4 linked regions of the Drosophila melanogaster genome follow. The protein of the gene in region 2 interacts with the protein of the main gene of each other region in a pairwise test. Each region holds a gene or a part of one and is shown on either strand. Other genes may lie near its edges. The genes, in order: CG13102, CG14984, Pex14 and CG6845.

Region 1 (7,513 bases), on a different chromosome or scaffold from region 2:
ATGTATCTGTCAGACTCCTCGACTTTTGCTATCGTTGTCGCCTGTCGCGTATCTGTATCTATGTTTGTGCTTGTATTTGTCTTGCCAGCTCTTAGCACCACCGCCATCGTCATCATCATCATCATTTCGATGCTTATCCTTGCTTATTGTCCTGTCGGAAAGAGCTCGCTGCTGCTTCTTGTCTGCTACTTTTTTCCTTTTTAATTTTTAAGAAAGCATATTGTAATTCTGTTGTTTACCTGTTTGGACACTCGGATACACGTACTTTTTAAATCTCGACCGCAGGCGATCCATTGTTTTTTTTTTTTTCTTTCGTTCTTGCCAAATTGGAGTGCTCCCTCCCAATGCAATGCAAAGTCAGTCATTGGTCCTGTCATTTGTTATATTCTCCTACGCATCCTTGACAGCGGCTTAGCATCCTTGTTGTTATAGCTGCTTAGCTATTCGTGACATGTCCGGGGCAATGCCCACGATTGTGATGTATGATTTTCAATTCCACCTACGGCGAGTCCTTTTCTAGTATTGTTGAAATTATCCCTTGGCTTGAGCAACAAAAAATAGTATGGAATCATTTTTTTGTGGCTTATCGTGAGTTTACTTGGCGGCTAAGCTATGTGCTTTCTTCCTTTTAACTAAATCTTAGGTTCTAAACTAATTGAACATTTTATTTATTTCTTACTTCATCCTGTTGTCATAGCCCAATGCAAATGAATCACTTTTTGTTTATAAGGTAGAAACTTTTAATATTACATTCACAATCGGTTTTTATTTCAAATTAATTTATGATGAACGTTTAGGGTTTCTTATCTGGGTTGAAGCTTATTACTCATCGTCATGAATTCATATCGACTTCAGACATTACCTCACATAAACAAACTTAACTTTTAATAACTAATAATAATACTAAAAAATATATTCTGAGACACATACATATAGTATTATAGTATTTTATAGCCTTGTTTTGTCTCACATATAAAACGTATGTTATAAACATGGCGGGTATCATTTATTGGAATATTATCAGCTAATAATCAGGATGTTAGACATTGGTATAAATAAGCCATTGTATGTCACCTATCAATTGGCAATACTTGCATAATGATTTAACTTTACATAGACTCATGCGGAAAAGCATATAAAACTTGGGAAGAGTTCTGTTCCCATTTTGGCTTTAGTTATCACATTGGAATTTATTTGATAACAGTTATCCGCCGACCTGAAAATGCACTTCATCAGCAGAAATCCCCGTATTTGGCTTTAGTCAACAATTCCTGACTCAAAGTGGGTTTGCGGGCCTAGTGATAACATAATCTAATCTTTATAACCGACATAAAAGCCGCTTTTATTGAGGTAAAATGTTGGACTACAAATTGAGCAGCTATCGGCTACACTTGATTCAGTTTCGCTTGAGGTAGCCTTACGAAGAGTTGCGCTTATAATTATTAGGAATAATATTAACCTATCGAAATGTGGAAGAAAATAATTTTCTGTGTGGTGCTTGTGGCCTTTGTGGTTGTGCCGTTTGGTGAGAAGAAAAAGTGATCACAAAGTTGAATCTTTGCTAATGGAATATTTTTATATATTAGCCAACTCACTGACCTGCTCCAAGTGCACATCGCCGTCTGGATGCAAAAGTCCTTCCTCCGAAACCTGCTCCAATTCGACGGCCAATGCCAATAAGGAATTTCTGGAAGGATACCATAGTAATGTGCCCACCGTTAATGGCAGTCTGAGTTTTTCGTGTGCCAATCTCACTTACTATCATGCAGCAAGTATGTTTTTTTTTTTTCTGATTTACGCTTTTGAAAGAAGACATCCTAACTTGTTTTGCATCCCTTTTCAGACTACACTCACACCTTTGAGTTCCTGGGCTGCGTCTTCAACGAAACGAATGTCTGCAATCTTTCCCTGAACAACACCGCGAGTGGATGGAGCAAGAAGTGCCTCCAATGCGGCACCGACTACTGCAATCCAGCTGGAACCTACAGCAGCAGTGTCTATACAATCGTGGGATCCGCCATTGCCGTGATTTTGGCCAAAGTTCTAAGCTAAACTTATAATCTGACGACGGAGCTAAACAGTATTTCAACTACCTTTTGATTGTACAATATTTATTTGAATTAAAAATAAAATCATTTAAGATAACGAACAATGGGATCTTATCATAAAAAATGCGTAAAATTTTCTACATGGAAATCCAATATTGATTTTCATTTCTATCTTGTTCACCTAGGAGATCCTGACTGTTTGTTTAAGAGTCTTATGGGTACGCATTAATATATATTAGCTTATAAAGTTTACTAATCAACACAATTACAATCGTATTTATAAATTAAAGCATTTTTCTACAAGAAAAAAACTAATTAAGATGGACTAAAATGTAACCATTGCATATATTCTAGAAAATAAAAATGTAAATAATCTTTGACCATAAATCATGAAGAGTTGCCAATCAACTCTTCAAGTTAATGAGGTAAAAAGTTCCCCTTCCCAATTGCTACCAATTCTACGCAACAGACTTATCATTTATTGCATATAGATTTGGTGGGGACTAAGATAAGAGCTCTTTATTAAAGCCGCTCAGGTGTTAGATTACCAGGTTGTGACTAATATTTGAAACAGTGGGCTAGGCCCACGAATTTTACAAATAAAATTAAAAAGAATTTACGCTTAAATATATATATGTATTTATATATATTGCTGGAGGATTATGAAATGTTTGTTATTTCGGTAAAGCAGTGAAATTCTTATTTGATTTAATATGTTTAAATGAGAGTAGGAATACAGGAATATTTCCAAAAATGAATGAGTTTCGAAAGGGGAAACCCTTACTGCTTCTCCATTGAAACTTTTTGATAAGTTTATGAGCCTGTAAACGTAAAATGATAAGATTAACTTAACAAACGACATACATACAAGCTTATCTCAAAGAATTGAGTATTGTGCAAAATCTGAAGAGAATCGCCGTATAAAAGAGTTCTTGGCATTTAAAAAGAGTTTAGTTTAAAGCGAATCGACATCTTGCAAAGTTGTACTACAGTTAAGTGTGAAGTAAAAATATTTAAACCAAAATGTATATGAAAGCTTTAATAGTCAGCATACTTGTGGCCTTTGTGTGTGTGCAAATTGGTGAGTCAATTGCGTAAAATGTGAAATTCGAGATCAACTGATTGTTTTTAACATGGATTATAGCTGATTCCCTGAAGTGTTACACCTGCGTAACGCCAAAGGACTGCAAGAGTCCCAAGAAAGTCACCTGCACGAATGCGGCTGCGAATGAGACTAGTTACTACCTGGGTGTCTATCATCAGAATGTTGGCAACCTAACCAGCACGCGATTCGATTGCCTGGCTCTGAAGTACAACTGGAGTGAGTAGCGTGGGGACCCCAGAAGCGGACTATAAAGATTTATTAACTACTTTCCACTTGCCAGATAACGATGTGATCCATCAGCTCCATGGCTGTGTGCATCCAAATGTTGGAGCCTGCAGCTTAGCACTTAAGCCGGCCTATGCTCACTACAATAAGACCTGGTGTCTCACCTGTTCGGGCGACAAGTGCAACAAGAATCCGGCCGGAAAGATGAGCAGCAGCACTATTGCCATCGCGTCTAGCGTTCTGGGTCTCTTGCTGGTCAAGATGTATGCCTAGTGTGACTATTAATAAATATGAGCTAGGAGCTATGATATTTTATATTTGATATTTTTTATTGTACCGTCAATTTTAGTAATATCATAATTTCATTTGTAGATTATGTAGGCCATGTTTATTCGGTCGAGCAGTTAACTAGGAGTGGGTATCACTAATCGATGGCGCTTGAATGGACGGTGGAGTGACGAAAGTTGTTGGGCGCTTCTCTAGGAGGAGCCCATTGGGTTGACGGCGTTTGTCTGCAGGTTCTTGAGCAGCATCTGCAGCCACTGCTTGGTGCACGTGTCATGTTGCACGAGCGACGTGAAGGTGCCGTCACGCAGCAGATCCGGCAGACACACTCTAAGTGCACTGCGAGCGCGCGCATTTTCCGTAAGTAGTAGATAGCAGCGCACCACATGCTTCAGCACCCGGAGGCATGGAAACTTCAACATATGGATGACCATTTTGCCCAGGGTGATGGCCACCTGCGAGAAGCGATCGTGGTTCTCGCAAATGTACGTCAGACCCATCTCATCGAGCAGTATCTTCTCAAGGATTGAAGTGGCCGCGATCTTGGTCAGCTTCGATCCCCTGACCATATTGGTCAGACAGTGAGGCACGACCTCGCTCCATATCAGGAAGATGAGGACCTCCGTATCACCGGTCTCGGCCAGAGCATTAATCACGCCCAGCGTGGTCAGGCGCAGCTGCTCGAAGGGCCTGCTCTTGAACGTGGTCGACAAGAAGGGGTACAAGTACATCGGTATCTGGTCCCGCAGGAAGGCCGGGCGAGTCTCCGGATGCGAGGCGACGCACTGTAGCAAAGTCAGGGCGTAGCACACGCGGTTCGACTGGTTGGCCTTCAAAACGGGCGTCGTTATTATGGGGTATATGTTGACGATCTCCTGCAGCAGGGTGCAGGTGGTACCGACGCTTTTCCACAGCATGGGGGCCAGGTCCGCATAGGTGTTCTTGCTCAGCTCCAGCAGAGCGGTCTCCCGCGTGGCAGGATAGGCCAGCTCGATGATCAACTGGTACACCTTCTCCCGCTCGGCCTGCTGCTGGGGACTCATTACCGGACTTGGTTCCGCACTCATCGCAAAGCTGGTTTTTTTTCGCGTTAGCTTGCAAAGATCTAGTAGCTTGGAAAGATCTGGCTCCGGAATTTCGACGGACGATTGAGAAACGTGGTTTCGAGTTGGCGTCTATTGTGGTTATCGATATAAGCTTCAAGCGAGAAAGGACCGAAAGCACGTGGCCGAACAATGTGGCCAGAGCCGAGGAACGCACGAATGCCATAAATTAATAAATAATTTCTTGTTCGAATGTCTCCCAGAATTTTGTTTCTTATCACCATTGATTTGATTGGCAGCTTGGAATTCGTCTGGAAATTCACGTTTTCTCTATATTTTACAAGTATTAATCGGTAGATGATTAAAATTTATGATTCTATTAAGTATGTCATAGCATAGCTTAGCTCTCTGAAATGGCCAGACTAATTGCGCATCTGATGGAGGTCCGATTTATGGCTTAATGACCATTAAGTACTTTTGGACACCAGTTTTAGAATTAATGAATTCGTATTGACAAATACTATAAATCAAAAATCATTCTAGCACACACAAATATTTGCCTTTAAAATTTTCAAATATTTTATCTCGCATTTAACCCATTAAACAGATGGATGCTTGGAATAGTTGTCCATTTCTGGAATTACTTGCCAATACAGAAATGGTTAACAGAAAATGTATTCTTTGCCACATCGTGCAACATTTCAATTTTGTTTGTTGCAGAGAGCTTTAAAAATTTCAGTCCGTCACATAAATTGGCCAACTATCCCAGAGAAAATCGGAGATTCGAACGAGCCGAGAAACAAGAATAAATCTTTAATAGTGTTGCCGTCTGCCTAAAAGTCAATCTCACTTTTGCATGCCGAACATTATCCGGTGGGTCATGTTATGGTTATCGTGGCTCGGTTTGTTTGGAGCTGCATTCAGGCATTTAATTGATTGATTGTTGCTCGTCTATGTCTGCATCGATTTGGCCGTGTTCACGCCCCTTTCACCCTTTCACCGAGCCGCCTCCAAAATCCCGTTACAGCGTCCCCTTTTTCGGATGTTTCATAACCAAAGCGGAAGGGATCCATGCCGCCCATCATATCGTGCACGGTTATCAAATCGACTTCCAGGCTATATCCTCGCATACATGCATATGTGGTCCACGTTGTTCCTGCTGCCAATTAGTGTTGGTGCGTCATCTGTGTGGCTGTGTGAGTGTTCATGTATGTATGCGTGTGTGCACGTCATCAATTAATTTTTGTATTGTTACTTTTTTTTTTTTTGACTGGTTTTTTGCAGCCCTCGGTGGGTTACGTGGGGAATACCCCTGTTGACTGATTGGTTTCTTTTCGATTCAATTGTTTCATGTGTGCCTCGGAATGGGAATGGATGTGTTTGCTAAACAAAGTTATGACTATGGTCACGGCTATAGCAGCTGGCTCAGGACTAGCTATACAATACTATAGTTTTACTATAGGCAAGCTTAAGAAGTTATTGTTCCCTCGAGATATGCGAATCAAAACGAGTGTCACTAAGAAATTATAGTTGTTAACAATGGAAAGTCAACACTTATGATACAATTCTTATCTGTCTTGCCTTAACCAATAACTGTAACAGTCTTAAATACTTGAATACAAACTACTGCTTACATTTGAGACCTACCCAGATTCAAAAATCAAACATCCGCACCACCAGGAATATTCTTACTTTCCCCTTATCTGTGCTCCAAATCCACCCTCGATATCCGAAACTTGTTGGGAACTCCCGGAAACTAAATTAAGTTTAGCTTCAACTACAATATGTACATTTGATTTATGCATTGAGAGACCATGGAGCAACCTGCCCGAGACCCCAGAAAATTTCCTCCTGCGAAAACGAAGACGGGAACCCTCTGATAACTAAGCCAAACCTATTCAACTTTCACGTTCGCATTGTTTGCACGAGCACGAAAAGTTATTAAGATGCATAGACGTGATTTTGCATGTTTTAAAAAAGAATACATAATGCCACAGATGAGACGGGGGAGCAAAGGACGTGGTATTAGTTGGGGGGAAGCTGGGATCTTGACTTGCACTTTAAGTACTTTTAATTTACCAAACAAATTTCCATTCTTCGCGACGACCGAAAATGTTGCATTCGAGAGGCCAAAAGAGGCCCGAAACTTGTCTCACACCGCAAAGACAAACTCATTGACATGCCTGAGACAGGAATTGAATTAAAAGTTTTCGTCCTTCTGCGCGGAAATAGAATAACGAGTAGAAGTTTCATTGTTGGGCTTTTGGAAAAAAAGTTTGCTGCATTTAAATTGATTTGTAATTCGCGGTTAATTTGGTTTTTTTCAGCTCCTTCTTTGGTTACTTTTATCAATTTTACATTGTTAGTTTTGGACCCTTCTATGCGATTAAATTATTATTTTAATTCGACACGGAATGCCTGACAGATATTTCAATTTCCCTTTGTATTTAGTTTTTACTGAAAAAATGCTGCAAATTAAATATGTATGTATTATCATTTTAAATTGTCGCAAAATGTCTGCGGTATTGCTTGATGCTTTGTGAATTTTCGGTATGTAAATCAAAGAAAGGCAATTTGAATAATGATGCTGCAATCTGAATTAAATTTTGACATGCCGATATTAAAGACCAAATAAGCAATTCAATATTTTGCATAAATTTCGAATTGCTTTATGATTTGCGTTATGTCCATGATAGCATGAGCATTTAATTTTCAATGAATAAATGGACCTGTTTGAATTATTCACATTTCCCATTAATTTTCCTACGCAAATGATTAAGATGGAAATTTAAATTCTATTATGACGG
Region 2 (7,105 bases):
GTGGGGCTAAAATATGAAGCTAAAAATATTTTTACACAGCAACCTTGTTTTATACACGCAACAAGTTGAGTCCCAAAATCGAAATACCCCGAACACAACTGCAAAAATTAATTAGAGCCCCCAAAACACTTACAAAACAGATGTGCAGCTGTGCTCCCGATTTCTCTTTACTTAACTTTAGTTAATTTTGTTTGGTTTCAAAAATATGTAAACACATATTTTAATGTTAAATACACATCCGAGGTTTAAGTTTAATATTTAGGTTCAGTATTTACCGGTATGTTCATATTACACAATTGGAAAAATGTGTTATTTAATCAAACCATAAATATATATTTATCCATTAGTTTATATAATCGTTGAAAAGGAAGTCGGGAACTTCAGCTGATCGGCCCAAACACCCTCTTGATAGAATGAAATAATTTCTAGATTAAAGACACCAATTACATTTTGATTATTATACAATAAACAAAAGGGCAGAAATCGAACGGTGAGATATTTTATAAAATGAACGATGAATAACGTAAAGATATTAATTTATATATTCATATATTAGAGATGCAAAAAGACTTGAACAGTTATATACATTTAAAATTGCAATATATTGTATACTTCATTAAAAAAAAATATATACATACATACCGGCATATATGCAACCACGTATATAAGTAAACATATTTAACTTATTTATATATAAATGCTTACAGCGAACCATAAACATATACATCATAAACCGAATCTCAACTTTTCCAATGCAAGACGAATAGGAATCCCTCAAGTAACTCAAGATCAATTCAAGTATATACTCAATGACCACACGGCCGGCGCGATCGCCTGGCCGTACAGGAATATATATAGCTAAAGATATATAGTAATACGTATGAATGCAATACGATGCCACGCCCACTCCCGATTGGCGGGCAGCGATTTTAAGGCGCCGCCCCATCGGAGTTTTCACAGATTAGATTTTTCCTTTTGATACTTAGCATTCGTTCTTGTTCTACTTTTAGTTAGAGAATGTTCAACTAGTTTCAGCTTCCGTAGGAGTTAAATAATCGACTTTAAACACAAACCACACCTAGATGAACGAACACCCAGCTATACTAATAAGCCCGTTACCCCTTGACCCTTGACCCTTGACCCCGTAACCCCATACACTCTATTAGACACTAGCCGACATCTACAGACCTACCCACATGCATAACCATGCGATTTTATGGCAAATATGTAGAGCATATAACCTATTATATCCCAAAGAAAGCTAATCCATTCTTAAATTAAAATACACACGAATAGCCGGAGGAGAAAGCGAACCGATTCGATTCGAAATTCGAATCATAACGAACGAAAGCAGAAGAATCACACCAGAAGAATCCGTTATGGAAATGACAACAAACAAAGAATTAAACTCCCCCCCAAAAGAAACAAACAAAAAACAAAAAACACGAAGCATCCAATACAAAATCCGAAAACGATGAGTCGATGGAATATAAATTAGAATCATAGTTATAAACGCTACACCCACACACTAGTGCAGCCATGTAACTATTTTTAGAGCCTCGGAAATAAACATACATAAAATACATAAAAATATTAAATAAACGACAGAGAAAACCAAATACTTGTTTTCTGGCTCTTATTCATGGGAAGTGGGTTTGAGGTAAGTACATTCATTGCAGATAATTATAATTATTTATCTAGCTTAAAATTAATTGCTTCAATTTTCTTTAAATTTATTTAATTATTGTTATTAGTTGCCTAGATATATGAAGCTATTGGCTATTGGCTACACTCAACAGCACTTTGTTTAAATTAATTCTTTAAGCACCTATGATTGCATATTTATGATTGCAATTAAGCTTCTTGCTCACTTTTTGAAACTTTAATTAATAGAACCACTTGAAATGGTCGGACTTCAATGAAAGTTAATTCAATGGACCATAGAGAACACGCACTTTGAGTGCACTCGAGTCCAGTACAAGGGCTTTACACTGAAAGTAAAAGGGCTGATTTGTTTAGATGCCATTGTTTTAAGGGCAAATTATTGCGCAACTAATAAACTATGCATCGCTGATTCGATTCAAATGTGGAAGCCACACGGGCAGCTCAGTCAACAAGCGGCATTCAGCAGATGGCTGCACATCATATAGTAGTATACTATAGTATATGTCTATAGTACACAGTACTTGAGCATTATATCGCAATCTGAATGGGGCGGGGCACACACTCCCACACACACACACAGAGGCGGGGGTACAAGTGCCTCGTCATGTGGAGTGTGTTTAAATGAAATTGCTTGATTCGGCATAAACATATTTACTCTGTTGAATATTTGCCCAACAATTTGATTCGCAATCTGGGCGGCCATGGGCATGGGCAGGTCTGAAATGCCGAAATCAAAATGGAATTGTATCAAGGACGCGGAACAATCGAGGCGGGCAAACACACACACACACACACACACACGTGTCGAGGAGGCCTCGTTCCACATGCCTCCTGCCAATCCTCCGGATCGCAAAGTCCTCCACTTGCATTCAATGGCGTAATCGCAGGCAGATACAAGTACTTGTATTCCGATTTCCGCCGCTGCAGTACAACCAAACCCAAGCCCAATCCCAATCCATACACCCATCCATCCGACGACCCGCGGCATTTCATCCACAGATGTCAGCAATTTCTCGATTTGAATGCTCAACAAAAACGAAAGTGGGCAAACAATTCAAAGGCGAGTGCGGAGCAAAAATAACTGGCAGCAGGGCGCAAAAAAGACGAACCTCTCCCGCGTAAATGGCTTCTCTAACGACCCAATTAATTTGAAACAAGTTACAGAAAAAAAAAAAGAAAAAATGGCAAAAAAAATAGAATAACGTTTGAATTTAAGGAACACAATCAGAGTGTGGCGGCGTTGCAGGAGTGGAGCGCCACAGGCCACTAAATGCTGGGTTAGAAACCATGCCCTTGCTGTTCTTCCGAGGAAACCCCTCCCCTCAACACCCTAGAAACTCCGGCAATTGCCGCGAAGCCCCAAGCTTTTTATGCCCCACCACAGCTCGAAAAGTTCGCCGACAGCTTCATTACCAGCCATCATCGGAGCCATCATCATTCGCGTGCACTGCGAGAAAAGGGGAGCATTTTTGGTGCTTAAAGAGGTGGGGTATAAAAGGTGCAAGCGGATACACTGCAAAGTATTTTACAAACACATTTAAAATATATTTCAAAATGGTTTAAGAAACTTCTTAAGCTGAACTGATCAGCTTTCTTTTAAAATACTTAATAAGTAGTAAGTAAAGTGCATGCAATTTCCCTGCAATTCCTGCATATCGATGACATAATTTTTCTCTCTCTGTTTGGATGCTGCTACCCATGAGTAATTGGCCCGGCAAAAGTTCGCTGGAGTCGAGTCGGATTTAAGCTTGGCCGTTGGCCGATCTAGCCTGAGTCTCGAGTCTGGAGTCGCGTCGATCGCAGTCCGCCATCAAATCGCGAGAAGTTCACAAATAGAATAGCCATGGTCAAGAAGACATCCGCCAGCCTGGGAAAGAGCATCTTGCTGGGAGTTCTGTTGTTTCTCGCCGTACACGCACTTCTCACCGAGGGTAAGTGGAATGGCTGAAATATATGATGTACTTTTACGGGCACTAAATGCTTAATATTAATGGCACATCTGCTTGAAATATTTGCGGCTATTGTTTTGGAATGAGAGATGAAAACAGGTTTTCGAGCGCCAGAATCGCCGGCCAGTGGCGTAGTTTCTGGGGATCGTGGGGCACAAAGCTCACTGTTACTCGGCTCGTTAGTCATAATTACGCTTTGTCGTGATTCAAGGCTTCCGGGTGTATGTCATAGCCAAGGCGGCGCAGATTAACCAGCTGATAAGCCAAACAGCAACACAAATGGAAAAATGAAGCGAAACATAATTTAATGGCGTGTAATTAAACTGAAACACCCCACCCCACCCCTCTCTCTCTCTCGCCCACCAGCGGCCCCCTTCCAGGAGCTGGAGCCTCGCAAAGGTCATGTGCCCGTCTACATCCGACATGGCGATGAGCCACTCAGCGAAATCCATCCAGGACTGGCCGAGGCCTTCAAGGAGGGCGAATCGAAGGTGAGTCCAAAGGACATTTACTGCTAGTTCAGGATTATGTGGTCGTTATTTGAAGTCCTTTTGCTTTATGTACAACTGTGGTATATGAACTTGCAGAAGTTAGTTAGATCGCTCGATTCACATATATTCTAATGTTCTCTTTCATTTCAAATTTTTTAAATTTGTTATTTCATGCAGTTTCTACTCATATATATAGTGTGCTTAGTTTGATTCGTTTTTATGAAAACCCCTCGGATTCACCATCATTTTACTGCTCTTTTCGCAGAGTCTCGTCACCGAATCTCCCCAGGCGGAAACTACAAACCCACCAACCACATCCGATGCTCCCGCTCCCGCTCCGTCCAGCTCCACGGTATCGGATATAGCCAGCTTTGAGGCCATCAAAGGAAAGACGGATTAAGGAATTGAATAAATTCAAAAATTGCTGCTTAAACTTATTTAGTCTACGAGTTAAGTCCATCAAACGAAAGCGCCTAAGGTCTGGTGACAAATCAGCAGGCGAAATGGTGTATATTTAAACATGAAATAAACATTTAAATAAGGCCAGTTTTAACTGAATAAATTATATTGCTTACTTTTCTTAGGCATAATCCGGAAAGAGTTATAATCAAATAGTAACCAACTATTTCGCCATTAAGTATGGATTTGATATACTATATTTTAGAAATTAAAAGCCTACTCAGGTCTTGCTTTAAATCAATGTTTTGCCTTGGCGAGTTCGAAAAGGTCCTGACCCTGTTTAAAATAAACTGTAAAGAGTTTTCCAACTTAATTATTTGTACAATTTGCAAAATTACCGGGCACGTTAAGTCGCTTTAAACGATGCCATTCCCATTCGACTCAGCATCGTCACCATCGCCATAACCAACCAGCCAGGAATTGTGTGTCCTGTCTGGCGCGCTTAAATGAATTTCTGAATTTCTGTGGACCCAAGCTCGTTAAGAGCTGTGCAAGTTTCACACATTGAATGGAAATTATTCGGTCCTTTTGGGTTTCAGTTTCAGTTTCGGGTCCTGTTTCTCTTTCTGTTTCGGCTTCGAAGTCCTCGAAGCTCGTCGCTGGAATCGCCTTGGAGCTTTGAGTGTGATTTACTTGTTGTGCCCATTAGGGAGTAGCGGGCACCCCTCAAATGGTAGGAAGGACACCCAGACACCCGGACGCCCGGACACCCTGAAGACCAGAATCAGGACCAGGTCCTGGCCAGGAAGCTGTGTGGCGCAAACGTTCGTAATTAATATAATGGCAACGGCTGGGCCGAGTAAAACTCCAAAATGGCCTACACACGTTGCGGTTCGGCTTTGTTAACGGAATGGGAGAATGGGCGTTGTGGTCTTGGAGGATTTTTTGGCCCGTCCTGGCTGATTGGGGGCGATCACAAATTGTTGTTTCATTGTCTCACAGCCCGGCTGTCTAACGAGCAATAAAACTAAATACATACACATAAAGTTAATTATAAAAGGGCAAAGGAAATTGGAAGGTCCCAGACTATTGAGCTACTACGATGCAAGTGATGGATTAACCAAGATGGAGTGTCCTTCGCGGCGGTTAGCTGGCTTGGCAATTGGGGGGCTGGGGGCTTTATCTGCAGACGAAATCGGGCTGCAATCAAGAGGGCATTAAAAGGAAGGCAAAATAGGAGGGCAAGAAAAAAAAAAGTGGCTGTATAAGGAAAAAAGCAAAGGGAAAAACCACCACAAGAAATACATACAACAAAAAAGCGACGAAAACTATGCGTAGTAAAAGCGAATTTTATGGAGCATCCTCGTTTAAGAAACAGCTCCTGAATTTAAATTCCTCTGCGTACAATCACATATAAGCGAGTATTTGCACACGCACACAGATACACCAACGCACACACACACACACACACTAGCTGCCAAGACCGTGTTCTTGTATCATTGTGTGCGTTCGAGCGCATTCAACCTCAAAATGAATAATTGCATATGCTTCAATGATTTGCGACTTTATTCGAGAGCGCAAGCTTCTCGCAAGCTGCTCCTTTGCTCCTCTGCACCTCCGCTCGCCAACTGCCAATACTTTAAAGTTAAAGGCCAGGAGTTCAATTGCAGGACCTAAGGACATGGCAGATGAGATGGCAATGGTCGCCAATGAGAATAAGCCACCAGTGAGCGACCCATCCGGGCTAATTTGAGAATTGCCCGGCTTAATTGCGTGGCACTTAAACAATAATCAAGTTAACGGTTATGCCGGCGATTATCGCCATTTTTACACCGATGCCAATACTAAGGATTATTGGCTGCCCATTAACAGGAGCAGCAATTCCAATCCGAGTCCCCCAGCCCGGTTCTCAATTCGATTCCGTCCAATCCAATGACACTCGTACACAGCCAAAAATACTTGGAGATCAGTAGACGTTTGATTTTGAATTGTTAAGCTGTCTATATAACATTATCCAATGCTGCCAATTCGAGTCTAGATGTCAAAGTTCATTCAGAAAAATGTTACATCTACCGAAAATTGTCGACTTGTTGAAGGAGCTGCAAGAGCAGGAGAAAGAAATTCAAGAGATCATTCTCGAGGAGAGCTTCGCCAGTCCAGAACAGCGACTAGCCCAACTGGAATCGGTCACATCACGGATGCATCTATACCATTCAAGGCGCGGGAATATTCTAATGAGTTTGCAGCAAGAGCTAGGCAAATATGAGTACTTCACTCTGCTGGTGAGGCACATTGCCCAGACGCACAGCTATTTGAAATCGCTCAACAAGGCACTGGACTTCCTGTACAAAGTCAACATCTGCTCCATCTGCGATTTGAAATGTGAGCCGCATGGCAGGCATTCCATGGTGTCCCTGCGTTGTGGCCACCTCTTTGGGCGCCACTGCATCAACAACGTCCTGCGGGAGAGCTCTCGGTGCCCCACTTGCTCGCGAAGAGCCCGTCATCACGAAGTCCGCAGGATCTACGGCTTAAAGTTTTATCCTCTTTAAGCTGCGTTGAATTAATTGAATTACATTTTGTTCTTATGAAACAAGAATC
Region 3 (7,123 bases), about 17 Mb from region 2:
GATAAGATATTTATTGTGATGGACTATGTAGAACACGACCTGAAATCCCTGATGGAAACGATGAAAAATCGTAAGCAGAGCTTTTTCCCCGGAGAAGTCAAATGTCTGACGCAGCAGCTTCTGCGGGCGGTGGCCCACCTCCATGACAATTGGATATTGCATCGTGACCTGAAGACCTCCAATCTCCTCTTGTCCCACAAGGGCATTCTCAAGGTGGGTGATTTCGGATTGGCAAGGGAGTATGGATCGCCGATCAAGAAGTATACCTCACTTGTTGTCACTCTCTGGTATCGTGCACCCGAGCTCCTTCTCTGCTCGCCGGTTTACTCCACGCCCATAGACGTCTGGTCGGTAGGCTGCATTTTCGCCGAATTCTTGCAGATGCTGCCGCTCTTTCCGGGAAAATCTGAAATCGATGAGCTTAACAGGATCTTTAAGGTAAGCTGTGGTTGAGCATTAAAGTTTAGTTATTAAAATAAGCTTGTTGAACAATTGTTAGTATTAACTTTGAAATTCATTTGCCGAGAATGCTTATTGACTTTTGATTTATTGTTCTAGGAATTGGGAACTCCGAACGAGAAGATCTGGCCAGGATACACCGAGCTCCCAGCCGTGAAGAACATGTTGTCGCAGAACTCTCAGTTTACCGAGTATCCCGTCTCGCAACTGCGCAAGCACTTCCAGGAGAAGACCTCTGAAATGGGCTTGTCGCTGCTGCAGGGTCTGCTGACGTACGATCCGAAACAAAGACTGAGCGCCGACGCGGCACTAAAGCACGGCTTCTTCAAGGAGCTGCCATTGCCCATCGATCCATCCATGTTTCCCACCTGGCCGGCCAAGAGCGAGTTGGGAGCCCGCAAGGCGCAAGCCTCTTCCCCCAAACCGCCATCCGGTGGCTCGCAGTTCAAGCAACTAGGCCGCGACGAGCCCATCATCGTGGGACCGGGAAACAAGCTCTCATCTGGGATTATCACTGGCAACAAGAAGAGCCACGGAGCTGGTGGATCGTCGGCTAGCACGGGATTTGTCCTGAACGCTGGAATAACGCAGCGCCAGTTGGCCATGGGACCGGGATTCAGTCTGAAGTTCTGATTCTGTGTGTTTTAGCCCATTACGATTACGATTAATTGTTATGTATAGTTAGCGATGTAAGTGGAAAATTTCGTTTAATTGTATGTGTATAAATATTGTTCCATATATAATTTAAAAAGCCATACAAAGCAATTGGGATGTATAATCATTTTTCACCTCAAGAGCGGCAATGCCATGTGGGTGGGTCAATTCAAGGAATATGAAAGTTGGCTATAAACATATCGAAAATTACTCCATCGTTTTATTGTGCAAACAACTTTTCAAGGACCAAAACTCAACCCACCCTCAACACTCCGAATGCGTCCACACCTGTAACTTTAAAACTTAGCCTAGGGGAATACTAACGCTCTACCTGAAATGCCTAAGTGGACCACAGATAGAAGTAAGTGCTTTGCCACGTGGGAATGTAATCTTTAAGGGGTTTGGCAACCACCTTAGCAATGGGCACACTTGTGGCCACAAAGTCGAGGATCCGCTCCAGTCTGGATTTGGTGAAGCTGTCATAGAACGGCGATCGGACCAGGAAGTACATGATGTTTATGCATCGCCTGCTCAGCTCCAGTTTTTGTTGCTTGGACATTAGGTCGCGATGCTGGCGGTAGAGGTGAATGCTATACAAATCAATGGATAATGCTACCATATATTGCTTCCAACTTCTCCGGCCGAACAGCCCCATGGCGACCAGGTGGATTAGTGGCTTCGATATATACAGGTATTCTGCTTGCAGGAGTTTCCTCGGAATTTGCGTCTTCGCCGCTTCATTGTTGTCTATATGAAGCTTGAAGTCGCGGTATTGCAGGGGAGGAGCACCCTCCACTTTACGAATCACACGGCCAGATCGCTTCAATTGGAAGGTAATGGAGTGCTGGGACTGCAATAAATCGTTCGTGGAGGAGGCCACACCATCCCCCGAATTCTTCCTCTGTTTGGCCCTTCGATTCAGTGCGGCGATGGGCGGTGAGGTGATTATATCCGAGGTTGAGTGTTTCAAGATAAAGAAACGGCCCGCTGCCTTGAAGGCCTGTATTAGCGCTATCACCAGCCACTTGCCGGATTGACCGAAAAGCCGACGGGCTGATATCTCGATGAAAACCTCGCTATATTCGAGCGTCGTCAACGTGACCTTTAGACGGTAGCAAAGTTTCGATTGCAGGTGGATCACCGAATTCTCCTCGGAATTGCGTGCCTTTTCGATGATCCGGTCGTTGTAGAACACCAGCATGTTTGACAGTGTATATACCAGCTCACTGACCACATTTGATGAGGAAATGCGACCTGGAAGCCGGCCAATGAGATGAGTCTGTAGGCTCTATGTAAGCAAGGAGTTCACTTTACCTGCTATAAAGTAGGATACCCACTTGGCTGTGGTCTCAAAATCCCCCACCACGTCGGGGTTTTTGCCCACCCACGCCTCGTACGCCTTCAGCATGCCCTTCAGAGTGTCCATTATATCCGGAAAATATTGTCTGTTCCTCCAAATAATAAAAATAATGAGGTGTTTCGGTCTACAGGTAATCAAATCGGTGCAGTTGTGGTGTTCTGGCGTTTTGAACAAGGCGTTAGTGCTTTCATGCAACACAAAATAGAAGGTGACGCAAAATGAATACATATATGAATGCAAGCACGGAGAGCGTTGATTAAACGCTTTGGATTAATAAAATTGGTACAAAAATAAATACCAAATACCAGTGTCACGAGCTTATCGCCATTACACTTTCAAATTTTACCACATTGGTGCTTACACGTCATAGAAAAAGAAACTAATAATTAAGGACCCACAATTTGTAAGAACCACATTTGGCATATCTGCCACCAACCTTTCATAGCCCCTTTTAATGTTCTTCAATGTAAAGATTTGCTTGTTTAGTCTCGGCATCTTAATTCAAGTTTCCTGATTCTTTATACTGCAGTATATTTTTATTGGGTATATTATGCATTTAAAATTTTAGCCCAGGTACTATGTTCTTTATAATAGAAACATTTCTTACCAAATTTTTCGGTAAAAACATTTTTCCAAGTTCAAATCTTTATTACGTTACAAATTACCTTAACGTTATACATAATAACCCTAGAAACGCTAATGCATTAGTAATTTCGAGAGCAGCAAAGTCTTTGGTCACACTTTTGTTTTTGTGCACTTTGTAATCGAATTGCTCGTGAATTCGGATTCACTCCGTTTTCGTGTGTATTAGCTAGGCAAGATTGAATTAAGAGTCGATATACAGATGTCCAGCAACAACACGGACACTGGGGACACCACCGTCATGGCGACGGCTACCTCGGTGCAGAACGATGTCGAGGCCGGCGTAGATGAGCAATTGCCTCGAGAATCGCTGGTAATATTTGTTCAACCCCTTCAAGTTTGCCTAATCTATAATCCGACTATTCGCCGCAGATAACCACTGCAGTCAGTTTTCTACAAAACACCAAGGTGCGCCACACGACACTTATCCAGAAGCAGCAGTTCCTACGGTCCAAAGGTCTCACCGCTCACGAAATTCAGCTGGCCTGTGAACGGGCCGGCGTTTTCACCCAAGACCCCAACAAGCCCAATCCGAATCCGAACACCGTCATTAGCATTGGATCCCAATTGCACGCGCTGCAGCCGCAGCCGACTGTCTTGGGCCGGATCAGGGAAATCATCCATTCGGCAGCCCTGTTCAGCGGAGTCGTCTACGCAGTCTACATCTTCTGGAAGGTGAGATGCAGTGGGATCTCTATTTCGGGGTCTTTTAAAAAGATTTATTATATTTACTCCACCAACTCGAGTGCGAATTTAAAGATCGCCATCTTGTCTAAGGCTTAGATACATTACACATATATTTGATGACACTTTTACCAGACGACGTTGAATTTACTTAGTATTTAACACATTTTGTAAAAGTGTTAGGACGCATAAATAAGTTTTAAGTGGTCCACCAGTCCAAAGTCCATGATTGCTAATAACTTCTAAAACCCGTATAATTTCAGCAATACATTGCGCCCTACCTGTTCGGCAAGTCCAAGAAGAAGGCGGTCGATGAAGTCCTGGACGACATAGACAAGAAGGTAGAGACCCGCACCAACGACCTCAACAAGGAGATTTTGGCGGTCAGGGATCTGATCACCACACAGCAAAGGGAACACGCCCAGCAGCTGAACCGCGAATTTAGTAACTTCCGTAGCGATCTGGATGCCATTAAGGGCCTGCTTTTGAACCGAAAACAGTTCGCCGGCCCTGTGGCTCCGATCGCAGTGCCATCCATTCCCGCCTGGCAATTGGCCGGCTCACCGCATCACCATCACCGGCACAGCGGGTCGGACGACAACGAGAAGGGCGATGATGCTGGATCCGGGTCTGGCTCGTCGGAGACAGAGGTGGTCACCAAGAATAGTGACTCCAGCTTGGAGATCATGTAATGCAATCAGAATACGAGGCTGGCTATATAGACGTAGTATATAGTTACGCTGTAAATTGAGTTTCCCCGTTAAATGCCTTCAAGACTTTTGGTTTTTTTTCTTTGCGTTTATAGCATTTAAGGTTTCTTTATAGTCAACAGCTAATCCATATCCAAAAGTACATACACACACTCACATATACACACTTATGCGATACGATGTCTATACAATGTAATAATAAAAAGTTTACATAATAACAGGTTTGAATTGAAAGAAACTGTTTAATTAAGCGCAAAAATGCTTTGTGTAGTTTTTTGTTTATCGGTACATACGGGGTGGGGATAGCATATCGGTTTAGACAATAAATTTCGACTTAGACGATAATTGGATTCTAAAAATTTTGCCGAGTGCTACTTTCTATAAATTGGCTAAATTCCCTTAGGTTTGATTTAAGATTATGCCGGGCGGAGCACCTCGAGGTTTTGCCTACAAGCTCCTTGAAGACTCCACCCAGATCCTTAACGGATTTAAATTATTTATTTATTGTGCGGTGCCTAGTTATGGTTTTGTTTCAATTACAAATTTGGTTCTCTGCGCATTCCCTTCATTAAATTTCCTTCACTACTTACGTTAGTTATCGATTTGTACATACGATAATTTAGTATTCAAATAATTGTTTGCCATTTTCGTAAAAGTTAATGTATTCTAGTAAGTTAATATTCTCACAAACGATTGTTAAGGGCTTCACAGTTCACATGAATGTGTTCTTTATTTCTCACTTCGTTTTGTGAATGGACAAACCATTGCGAAATACCCTGAAACAAGGATAGAGAACAGTACCCCTACCCATACTATGTATGCATTATTAGAGTCTTTTGTTGGGTAGCTTGGCCCTTGTTTGTTGGGTACAATCGTATAAGATAAACAGCGGCCAGGCCGGCATTTTTATCAGCTATTTCAAATTAAATATAACATATTTACAATTAATTATACCTTGCGATGGGGGCAATACCAGCTGCCAAAGGCCGAGCACTGTGTACGTTTGAAAATTAAAGCTTTGACAAGAAGTACAAAAATGTGTACGTTTGAAAATTAAAGCTTTGACAAGAAGTACAAAAATGTGTAACAAAATATTTAGTGTTTTAAAGCCTGTTGTTTGACCCAAACGTAATTTACCATTCGGACAGGCATCATTTGATTAACACCGAGCGATGTGTAACGTTACAAATTAAGTTTTTAAAATAAGAAATTACAAAATATTGCGTAATATGTATATGCGTTTTCCTGGTTCCAACGATACATTTTGAAAACGGAATTGGATAGTTGTACTTTTTCGGAAAAACAGAAGTTGCCATCCCTTTGGCTTCCGCGTTTGTTTAAATTAAAGCGATTATCATCCGATTACACAAAACTAAACCTCAGAACTGGGAGCATGGCCGCTAGTGTGGCTTCAGGCCCAATTGGTTTTTTCTTCCTCAAATGTAACCCTAATTTATGCTAACAGAAAGTGCACAGATAGTATGGACAAAATAGAACCATGTGTGGATAGCAAGATCCCAAAAAGAATCAAATCTAGACGGCTGAGTTGATGACCGCTTGCGTGGATGCGGAACTACTGATGCTATTGGCCTGGCCAAATGCAGATCCCGCTCCAGCAGCCGATGTGGTAGTCGTTGCCGTAATGCTCACCGCTGCCGCTGTGGCAGATGTCACTCCATCCGGATAGCCGCCCGAAGCAGGAGCCGGTGAAAGAGACATCGTCGACGAGGAGGGCGAAGAGCAATCGCTTTGCACACTCATTGTGGGCGAGGCGGCCACCAAATTGCTGCTACTGCTGGTGTTGCTGATGGTCATCGGAAACTGTGGCGGCGGATTCCCGGTGGGCGTGTGCGGGGACAGTGGCGACATTGAGGACGATGTTGTGGTCAGCGACGGGCTGCTGCTTGTGCTCGTTGTAGTGGCTGTGGATGAGCTGTTGCTATTGACTCCACTGATCGTACAGGAGTTGGTTGTTGGAGCCGTGGATGCGGCGGATGGGGGCGTCGATGGCGATTGCTGGCTGGAGGTTACCCCAGCTGCTGCCGCCGCAGCTGCAGCCCGCTCACGCTCCCGATCTCGTTGTGGCCTGAAGGCCTCACGCAGTGCCTCCACGCGAATTTCATTGGGTCCCCATCGCGCGTATCCGGCGCTATTTTGCAACCACACCACCTGTGTGCCCTGCATGCACTTGATCAGCACATCAGACCTGGAAATTAACGGAGTTAAATAAGTATGAATGGGAAAAGCATAAGTTTAACTAACTTACTTTTGCAACATGTGCTGATAGCCGTGTCTGTACTCGTGGGCCATGCCCAATACCACCATTGAACGGCGCTTGTACATGCTGTCGTCCAGCTTGGATATGCTCTTCCACTCCGGCAGAAACACAATAAAGCTGAGTAAAACAAGAACAAATTGTATTATACTCATAAGCAACATCAAACCGATGTTTAATCTCACCTCAGAGGCTCCATGGTGTCCGTGAGCAGTTTGTCGATGTGCAGCAAAGAAGCCTCAATCAGCTCCTCGCAATGAGGAGGGTTTACTTGGAAGGAACCGGAAACGGGCTTGAAGTCGAGGAAGGGCCTGTAAAGGTCACACATTTCACTTAGAT
Region 4 (8,086 bases), 3.8 Mb from region 2:
CGTGTTGGCTATGAAAGCAAATTAAATGCGGCATTGAAAACTGCACACGCAAGGCAGATAAAAACTCAAACTTGTTTGGTGAATGGGTTTAAAATTAGCGTTGCGCTCAACTAATTTTACTCTTTTGGTTTCATTGCAGCCAAATCGAACCTATTACCTGGATGATCCCGAAGGCTATGCTATCCACTGGTCGGAAGCTATTGAGAACATGCGCAAGTTGGCCTACGGAGATCCCTCCTCCACATCTGCAGTGTCCTGCTCCAGCGGCAGCAGTAATAGCCTGGCTGTCATCTCAAATTCATCCGCCGCCTCCTCAAGCAATTCGCCCACGGTGAAACGCAGTTCCCCCGTAAACGCTCCTCAAGCTTCGACGGCGTCTGACAACCGGACATTGGGTAGCACCAGAACGGGGACGTCACCTAGCAAGAAGACGGCGTCTAAGTAAACGTAGTCCTATTTATAGCAATGTGAAATTAATTTAGTTGAAATTTAGTGCAAACGAAGCGATGGCGTAGAAGAGGGCGGGAATAGAAGTAAGCTTAGAAGTAGAAGTAAGTGATGAAGGGGAAATAATGATCGTGTCTCTAGTGCTAATTAGAACCAAATTTCTGTTTTCCGATTTGTATTGTGCTTAGGGCGAAAATATAACACTAGAATAAACTTATCTAAAGTAAAATACATCTATAACGACTAAGTAAATTCAATTTAAAATTTAAATTAAATATTTATATACAGCATACATAAATACAAATATATTCGTATTTAGCGCGTAGTTAGTCGCAATTGAAATGAATTACACACGGAGGCAAGGTGGCATTGTAGGCTTAAATTAAAAGTAATTTCGTGAAGCAAACTAAAATCCGTATTTAAATGGTATAATACTAGGAAATTATCTGGAAACTGTAATATACATAATATGTGTATGTACGTCGGAGAAATAATTTTTGTTTCTGTTATCGTGGGAAGATCACATATATGTTAATATAAATTTTGTAAACAGTGTAACTATGTACAGAACTATGTGAGCTATATGCACACGGCAAAAAGACCCTAAGTCGTGGGGAAGGAGATGGGAATGAGCCGGAAAACCATCGATGTCACAAAATCGGTGTTTTTCCAGCTTCACGCTCAACTGTTTAGGTAATTCTAATATACAGTTTAACGCTAATTATCATTATTTATCATTCTCATTATGCTTTTCGTTTACCTATTTGCCCTATAATGAAATGTATAAGACTTGAGCTACCCTAATAAAAGAACGAATTTTAAATTATATTTTTATTTTGTAAGGGCTACCACTAAAAACTCAACAGTCGTTCAAAGATTGTCAAGATTGGCGGTCGTTGTCTCTCCAACTGACTCCAATTGAATGTGTGTAAAACAAGTCTTATACAAAGATATATGTAATAGATGTAAGACAGACTGCAAAGTTTCTTGAAACAAATTAGTTAAATGTTGTAAATGTCTAAGTTGCTACCACTGCTACTACTAGAACGCGCCCATCCCCTCCCATATTTACCTTTAAGCTACAGTAATTAAGTGATGAGCAGAGGTGTAGAGTAAGGAGTCGAAGTTGAAAGAAAGCAAAAAATACATTTTGTACATACATATCGCCGTTGGTCGATATACATCTAAACATAATTTAATTTTTTGTTACTTTTAAGTAAATTATTTTTGGCGACCTAAGTAAATTAAAATTAACGCAATATGCAACAACACACATAAGTATACAATTAATTAAATTAAACGAAAATTACGATTTATTAAACGATGTCATAGAACGGAGAGCCACTGATAGTGAGAGAAATCTGTAAAATAAATATTTAAACAAATTATATATTATCTATATATGAGTACCAGAACAAGAATGTCAAAAAAGAGAAGCATGTAAAAATAAAAAATATATTACGAGTAAAACAAAAAAAGATAATCGAGCGAAAGGAACGTATCATTAACAGGAAAAATTAAAGAAAAATACAAAAACATTTCAAAGTAACAAAATTACGATAAAATTTGTTTTTATTTTGGTTCGTTTGGTTATTACAATTGGCAATATCTAACTGATTGGGTAATAAGTGCGCGTATCCCAGTATCCAACGTTGCAAAATGATACAACATTTCAATAGGTTTCAAAATCTACGTAAGATACACATAAAACGACCTGACTACTTTGTTCTACCCTACGCTTGTGCTGCAGTACCTAAAATCGAAGAAAGAGTACAGTGAACAGGGCTAAGATATAGAAAGACAGCTCTATTTCTGCAATCCAAAAAGGGCTTGCCCTAATTAAAATAATTGCAAATGCATTGCGCTTCAAATCCAGAAGCCTTTTTTACCTTTTATAGCCTACAGGAAAAAAGAAAAAAGAGGAGATAACGGAAAGACCCATAAAATCGAAAAGTGCATAGGTAAACCTGTAGGACGATTAGTGGAATACTAAAATCATCATATGTTTTAATCAATAAGTATTCCAATTTTACCAGGGGCAAGTGTATGCGAATTCTTTCAGTACGAGTATTTAATATATTTATTTTTATCATAATTGTATAAAAACCTGAAGCTCCAAAATAACTTGATCATTTTGAGAAAAATATTAATAAAAATTATTTTTTTGTTTATTTTCTTATTATTTAGTTACATATAATTTTATTTTATGTTTATGTTTTTATAATTTTTATTTTATTATTCATTATATTATAATAAATAGATTCGTTGAATAGTATTAATATTGGATTTGAATGCAGCGATGCGTTTTACGCATTTCAAATCCGAAACTCGCTTAGATCACACGACGTAACTTTATAAGATATATAAATCAAAAATAACTGTTATTTTGAAAGAGAAAAAATGATGTTGTTTGAAATAAAGGAACAAAAAAGCGAAAAACAGAAAAAGCAATCGGTTAAGTTTTAAATTCTTTTTGGGCGCCAAAAATGAATCGGATAAGCCAAAAACAACAAACAATAGGCTTTTCGATTTTAAGAAGGGTCACATTTCCGATAACAATGAAAACTCACATTTAAATTGGTCACACTAAGTGGGGCGCCAAGAGAAAATATCGATATCGATTCCGACTGTTGTGTTAGACTTTACAAATAAATTACAAAGAAATCGATCAAAATAAAATCATGGAAGAAAGTCAGCCAAGGTATGGCGCTATGTGGACATTCAAGCTGGTGGCACCATACGTAATTGGCGGCTACCTATGCGGCCTCGCGGTAACGCTCGCATGGAACTGGTGGCAGCTGGGCCACTTGGTTCTGGGTCTTAATCTCACCTTCGCGATTCCGGTGGCGCTTGTTCTGGCGGTCTTTTACAGCAGGCCCGTAAGGTAAGAACTACCTGAAAAAGCCCAAAACGATTTGTGTCTAACAGTGTTCCCTCACTGGCTGCCAGGTGCATTGTGACTTTGGCCCTTCCCTCGCTGTGCAGCTCTCGGGGAAGGGCGTTCCTCATCAGCCTTGCCTTTGTTATTGCCGCAGTTGGGCCTACGGCGAACATTCTAGCCAATTTGAAGGTGATGCTCCGCAGCCTCGCTTGCGGACAGGAGCTATTGCGTCAGGCGCTTGGCCAGATGTTGGACGTAATACTGGAGCCGGTGAATGCCATCCAGCTAGCGGTGGATCTCTTGATGCGGGAAGTGCGTCGGGTGCTCAAGCTGGCCATGGTAGTGCTGTTACGCATTCAGGACCAATTGATCGCAATTAGTGAGTATCTGTATTAAAAAGTGCTGCAGTTTTCTCTGCTGATTCATTTTTGTAGTTAAAACCCTGAAGAACTGCGCCGCTTGGCTGAAATCCATCGTAGACCTGTGCAACACAGAAATGGGCACTCCCTGGGCACGTTGCAAAAAGACGGCGCATCACGCAATGATCAGGTGCCAGTCAAAGATGGGCGTATTCAAGGCGCTATGCCATGCTGCAAAGCTGTTTCTGGCCCTCTGCTATCCAGCCAAGATCATCGATGTGTTTTGCAGCGGTTACTGGGATCTCAGCTGGGGTCTTCTTGATAAAATCGCAGAACGTGAGAGTGTAAACAACGATCGGTACTTTGGTTATTAGTTATACGATCTCGCAGGCTACCGTGAATTTGTGCGGCACATCGAGGAAATGTTTGATGCCAATATCACTTTTGAGCACGAATTTTTCTTCGATACAAACTCTTCAAAGAGCCTGACGGACGTGGGGGAGGAAATTTTACAGGATATTAACAAGCGTCTGTCGTCGTTTATCTTCTTGAGCAGCTTTGTGGACATTCTCTGCTGGGTCATGGTGGTTACTGTATTTTTTAAGTAGGCAAGAGCTTAATCATCTTATTAATTTAGTGTTGGTGATGCCTCAATTGTTCCCATCAGAGCCACCATCTTCTACCTTCGATATATGCACAGCCGGCAATTTCAGAATGTGTTCTTGACAAAGATACTAAGTGATATCGACCGGCGGCACGAAAAGCACGGTTACGATCCACTGCTACCCCTTCATCAGCTTGAAAGGGCAAAGTATATGAAGGTAAGGTTTCCCTACGTTTCCCTGACATAATATTACAATGATTTCATTGCAGCTTACTAGCTTGCGTTTGACTTTGTTTGAGTTCGTGTCCATTGTTGAGAACGCCTGTTTCATGGCCACAACCTGCTTGCAGTTGTTTGCGATTTGCTTTCTGGATTACGGGCTGTTCTGGCTGTTGGCAACTATATCCCTCCATGGCCACCAAGAGACTGGGCTGGAGGTGCCCGCTTACGTCGATCTAGAGATTAAGGGTGGGGGCTTTGTGGCGGATGTCATGCGGGGAATCGCTAATGCCTTTCGACCCTTGACGCAAAAAAGCATTTTAGACGTGAATCCTTGCCTCCCGCTGCCCGTGAAACCTGATTATGCGGAGTATCTAATTATATTATTACTCTGTCTGCTCGCTTGGCTGATCCTTTTGGCCGAGCCGTATATTTTGCGTACTCGCCATCTTATAATGGCCCACTTTTATCCAAAACGCGCCAAGGAAAGAGGCATGTTTCTGTACAACATGATTTCCGAAGATAGAAGTAAGAAAGTACATACCTTTTAAAGTTGTTCTAATGTATTCTCTCCAGCAAGCATTTTTAAGTTTATCCGCCGCAGAAAGCGTAATGAGTTTAACCACACACGGAATGTGAAGCACACCAGAAACTACACTTGGCTGAACAATAGATTCTCCTGTTTAATGTGCATGTGCTCCTGCTGCTCATCCTGTCAAAGCACTGAGAGGTGCACCATATGTGGCCGATCTCTGACTCTGTAAGTAACTCCAATCGTTAAACACACTCCGGGTTACAGTTGGATGTCCCCTTTTTAGTTCAAATCGTAACCCCTGCGACACTCCTGGATGCAAAGGGGTTTATTGCGGTAAATGCTTTGAAAAGTCACACAATAAGTGTTGTCTGTGCAATCGACCAGTGGATTATGGTGATTTTTCCGACGTTACTGAAGTAGAGTGAGTAAAAACCAGGGTTTAATCGACTATTCTTAATGGTTTTGTTTGTGCAGCGACTCTTCGGACTATTCTGAAAAAGAGTCTTTTAGCGAAAGGCAGTACAGGAAGACCTGTGGAGGACAACGCTAGCAACGAGGGAAAAACAGTTAAACATAGAGGTTGTGAGCGCATACACGTTATGCAGATAGCTCAGAAATATAATATTTCCACCTATTAAATACCTGATATTCCAACAATTTAATATATGGTTATAGGTGAGTTATTCAATAAAAATAACTCTTGTTATTGCTGATCTGATGTCAGTGCAATTCCTACCCTTCACCGCCCATGGAAGTCGCAATACGGGGACTGCGTTGTTTGGCGAGCTTCTGGGCTGAAATTATTATTTAATTAAATACTACAGCGACAAATGGCTACACAGCAATTCAGAAAATAACCTTGTTCTCACCCCTGTTTTCGATTTTTTCTTTTTTATCAAAGGCTTGTTTGCTTGATACCTATTTTTATTTCTTCTTGGGCTATGACTGTAACGTGCTGTTGAACATCTTCTCATTATTGTTGACTTTCTCTTTACGACTGTTTAATAAATTCTGCTCTTCCCCCACATGCGGCTTCCATTTACCAAGCTTATACGAGCATTTATTATATAACACCCGTCGACTTGCACCGATCCCTCTAGACCCTATATCGACCCCTATCCACTTGACCACCATCGTTGACAGTCAACCACACACACTCGAAAAACAATGGAGCTCATCTTTTCGAACGGATTTTTGTGCTTGTGCAAGGTAATGCCCGGTCCGTTCGGATGATATCAAGTTACTATTGGGTAGTTTTGTTTGACACTCGATCGATCGCCGTTGTGTCTCTTAGATAGCTGATGCGTGAACATTTCATCAGTGCCATCCAGATTCGCTTTCAGGCCGACGAATTATTTTGTTTTATTGAGAATACCATTTTTCCTATCTAAAAAACTGCTTTTTTGTTTGGGTACCCAAAGAAACCAATGCTTTTAAGCTCCATAAGAAGCTCGTGGTCGTTGCCAATTGCCTTGAAAATGGCTTTCTCTAACTCGTCGTATTGGAAGTGTGGCGAAAAGGGCATGTCGTTCAGGGCGTTGAAGAGCGTGTTCCCGCGCTCGTTGCCAATAACCAATGTGCGACCACAGTGGGAAAACCTAAGAATTGGTAAAGGAAATTCCTATTCAATTGGCCATTTTTGCGGAAAGCAATAAAAGCTTACCTGGCCACAGTATTAAAAGAAGAGTCCATCTTGTGCTTGGACATGGGTCTTAGCAAATTTCGGCGAAAGTCCCAGACGTTAGCGGTTTCCCGGTTCACCGTCACAATAATCGTAGAGTGGGTGGGGCTCCACTTGGCCCAATGCACTGGGGTCATCTCGTCTAGCAGTTCGAGAAGAGGTCGCGTGATGCCATCGACCCAAATGCGTACGAACCTGCAGAATAGATACTATCTTTAGCTACCCTTGATAGAGGGCCACTTCCTACCAATCGTTGCCGCAGGTGAGGAAGAGTTTGGGAGACCAAGGCGAGAACTCCATTACGGTGACACCCCCGTCGTGACAACGCAGGACTTCCAAGTACTGATGCTGATAATTGATTGAGCACTTGTGGATGCAGCCCTCATCTGTCAGCACGTAGTAAATGTCCTTGTGCAGAGGATGTGTAGTGATGCTTAAGCCTTGCGGGTGGCGGTTAGACTCGCAGGGGATACGCGACGATGGGTGAACGAAAATGCCCTCAGGATGCCCCTCGACTCGCTCCAGAATCATTTGGGTAAAACCAAGCAGGAAGGGACTTTTGATAATCCGGAAGCGGGTGACCGAGCCATCCTGGGAGAGGCTCAGGAATGGATCGATGTCTGTTTCATGATCGTCGTCTGAAACTTGTTTGATCCAGCGGATGGCAACCACCGGCGAGGAGCCTGGCGAAGTGCTGCGCTGCGAGACCGCAACGGGTGTGTCCTGCAAACTGCTCACATCTCGCACTTCCACGCTGCCGTCGTACAGACCAATGGCGAGCAAGGATGGCAAGAATGGCGAGAAGTTTATTGCCGTTACTGGCACATCGTAGTAGTATGCGCGCTCCGGCTCGCCTGGATTTTTAATGCTCCACAGGAAAACGCTGCCGGAGGTCGGTACGTGCTGTGAGGAAAATGAGTACAGTCCGTAGGCTACAGCCAGGATGTCACCATTGCTGCGGCAGAAATCAATGTCGCTTACGGCCTTGCGCTCGTCTTTGCTGGGCTCCGGTACCAGCCGAAAGAGCAAGTTCATCGAGTAGACGTACTCGGCCTCCGCGTTCCAGCGTTCCACCTGGTCAAAGTTACGGAAGCGTCGTAACCCCGCCTCGTTTGTGTTGCTCGAGAGCGTGCGGCCCATGTACATGATGGCGTTGCGAAACTCGGGGCTCCGGAACAGGCGCTCTATCTGGCTGCTGACCTTGTCTTTTTCGGCAACGGCCTCGTCGTCCTCAAAGGTATCCGCATCCTCCGTCTGCGCTAGAGCCGAGGTCAGGTCCTTTACCGAACTCATAGTGGCTGTTGCGAACTCCTTGGTGATATTGTTCAGCGTGTCGTACATCTCAAAGTTGGAAACGTAA

What was found.
Region 1: the proteins of CG14984 (region 2) and CG13102 interact in a two-hybrid assay, tested with the Drosophila melanogaster proteins (one large-scale study listed by BioGRID).
Region 3: the proteins of CG14984 (region 2) and Pex14 interact in a two-hybrid assay, tested with the Drosophila melanogaster proteins (one large-scale study listed by BioGRID).
Region 4: the proteins of CG14984 (region 2) and CG6845 interact in a two-hybrid assay, tested with the Drosophila melanogaster proteins (one large-scale study listed by BioGRID).

Annotation. Positions count from the first base shown.
Region 1 is NT_033779.5:9,009,193-9,016,705, forward strand, and holds CG13102 (uncharacterized protein), read left to right. Parts: upstream 1-2,995; 5' UTR 2,996-3,071; coding exon 3,072-3,129; intron 3,130-3,192; coding exon 3,193-3,369; intron 3,370-3,433; coding exon 3,434-3,651; 3' UTR 3,652-3,857; coding exon of another isoform or gene 3,858-4,730; 3' UTR 4,731-4,957; downstream 4,958-7,513. Other genes in the region: CG9568 (uncharacterized protein), read left to right, coding at 1,468-1,525, 1,587-1,772, 1,844-2,052; Rcd-1r (Rcd-1 related), read right to left, coding at 3,858-4,730.
Region 2 is NT_037436.4:3,948,752-3,955,856, reverse strand, and holds CG14984 (uncharacterized protein), read left to right. Parts: upstream 1-3,306; 5' UTR 3,307-3,508; coding exon 3,509-3,596; intron 3,597-3,980; coding exon 3,981-4,105; intron 4,106-4,370; coding exon 4,371-4,505; 3' UTR 4,506-4,664; downstream 4,665-7,105. Other genes in the region: CG14983 (uncharacterized protein), read left to right, coding at 6,565-7,056.
Region 3 is NT_037436.4:20,775,616-20,782,738, forward strand, and holds Pex14 (peroxin 14), read left to right. Parts: upstream 1-3,183; 5' UTR 3,184-3,317; coding exon 3,318-3,428; intron 3,429-3,487; coding exon 3,488-3,790; intron 3,791-4,062; coding exon 4,063-4,491; 3' UTR 4,492-4,763; downstream 4,764-7,123. Other genes in the region: pitslre, read left to right, coding at 1-438, 559-1,092; Pex16 (peroxin 16), read right to left, coding at 1,454-2,367, 2,428-2,539; Pcif1 (phosphorylated CTD-interacting factor 1), read right to left, coding at 6,043-6,715, 6,776-6,904, 6,970-7,095.
Region 4 is NT_037436.4:143,376-151,461, forward strand, and holds CG6845 (uncharacterized protein), read left to right. Parts: upstream 1-3,057; 5' UTR 3,058-3,128; coding exon 3,129-3,331; intron 3,332-3,396; coding exon 3,397-3,707; exon of another isoform or gene 3,708-3,762; coding exon 3,763-4,023; intron 4,024-4,077; coding exon 4,078-4,291; exon of another isoform or gene 4,292-4,354; coding exon 4,355-4,508; intron 4,509-4,560; coding exon 4,561-5,038; intron 5,039-5,086; coding exon 5,087-5,270; intron 5,271-5,328; coding exon 5,329-5,466; intron 5,467-5,519; coding exon 5,520-5,595; 3' UTR 5,596-5,681; downstream 5,682-8,086. Other genes in the region: Pdk1 (Phosphoinositide-dependent kinase 1), read left to right, coding at 140-445; Dic61B (dynein intermediate chain at 61B), read right to left, coding at 6,433-6,643, 6,709-6,921, 6,974-8,086.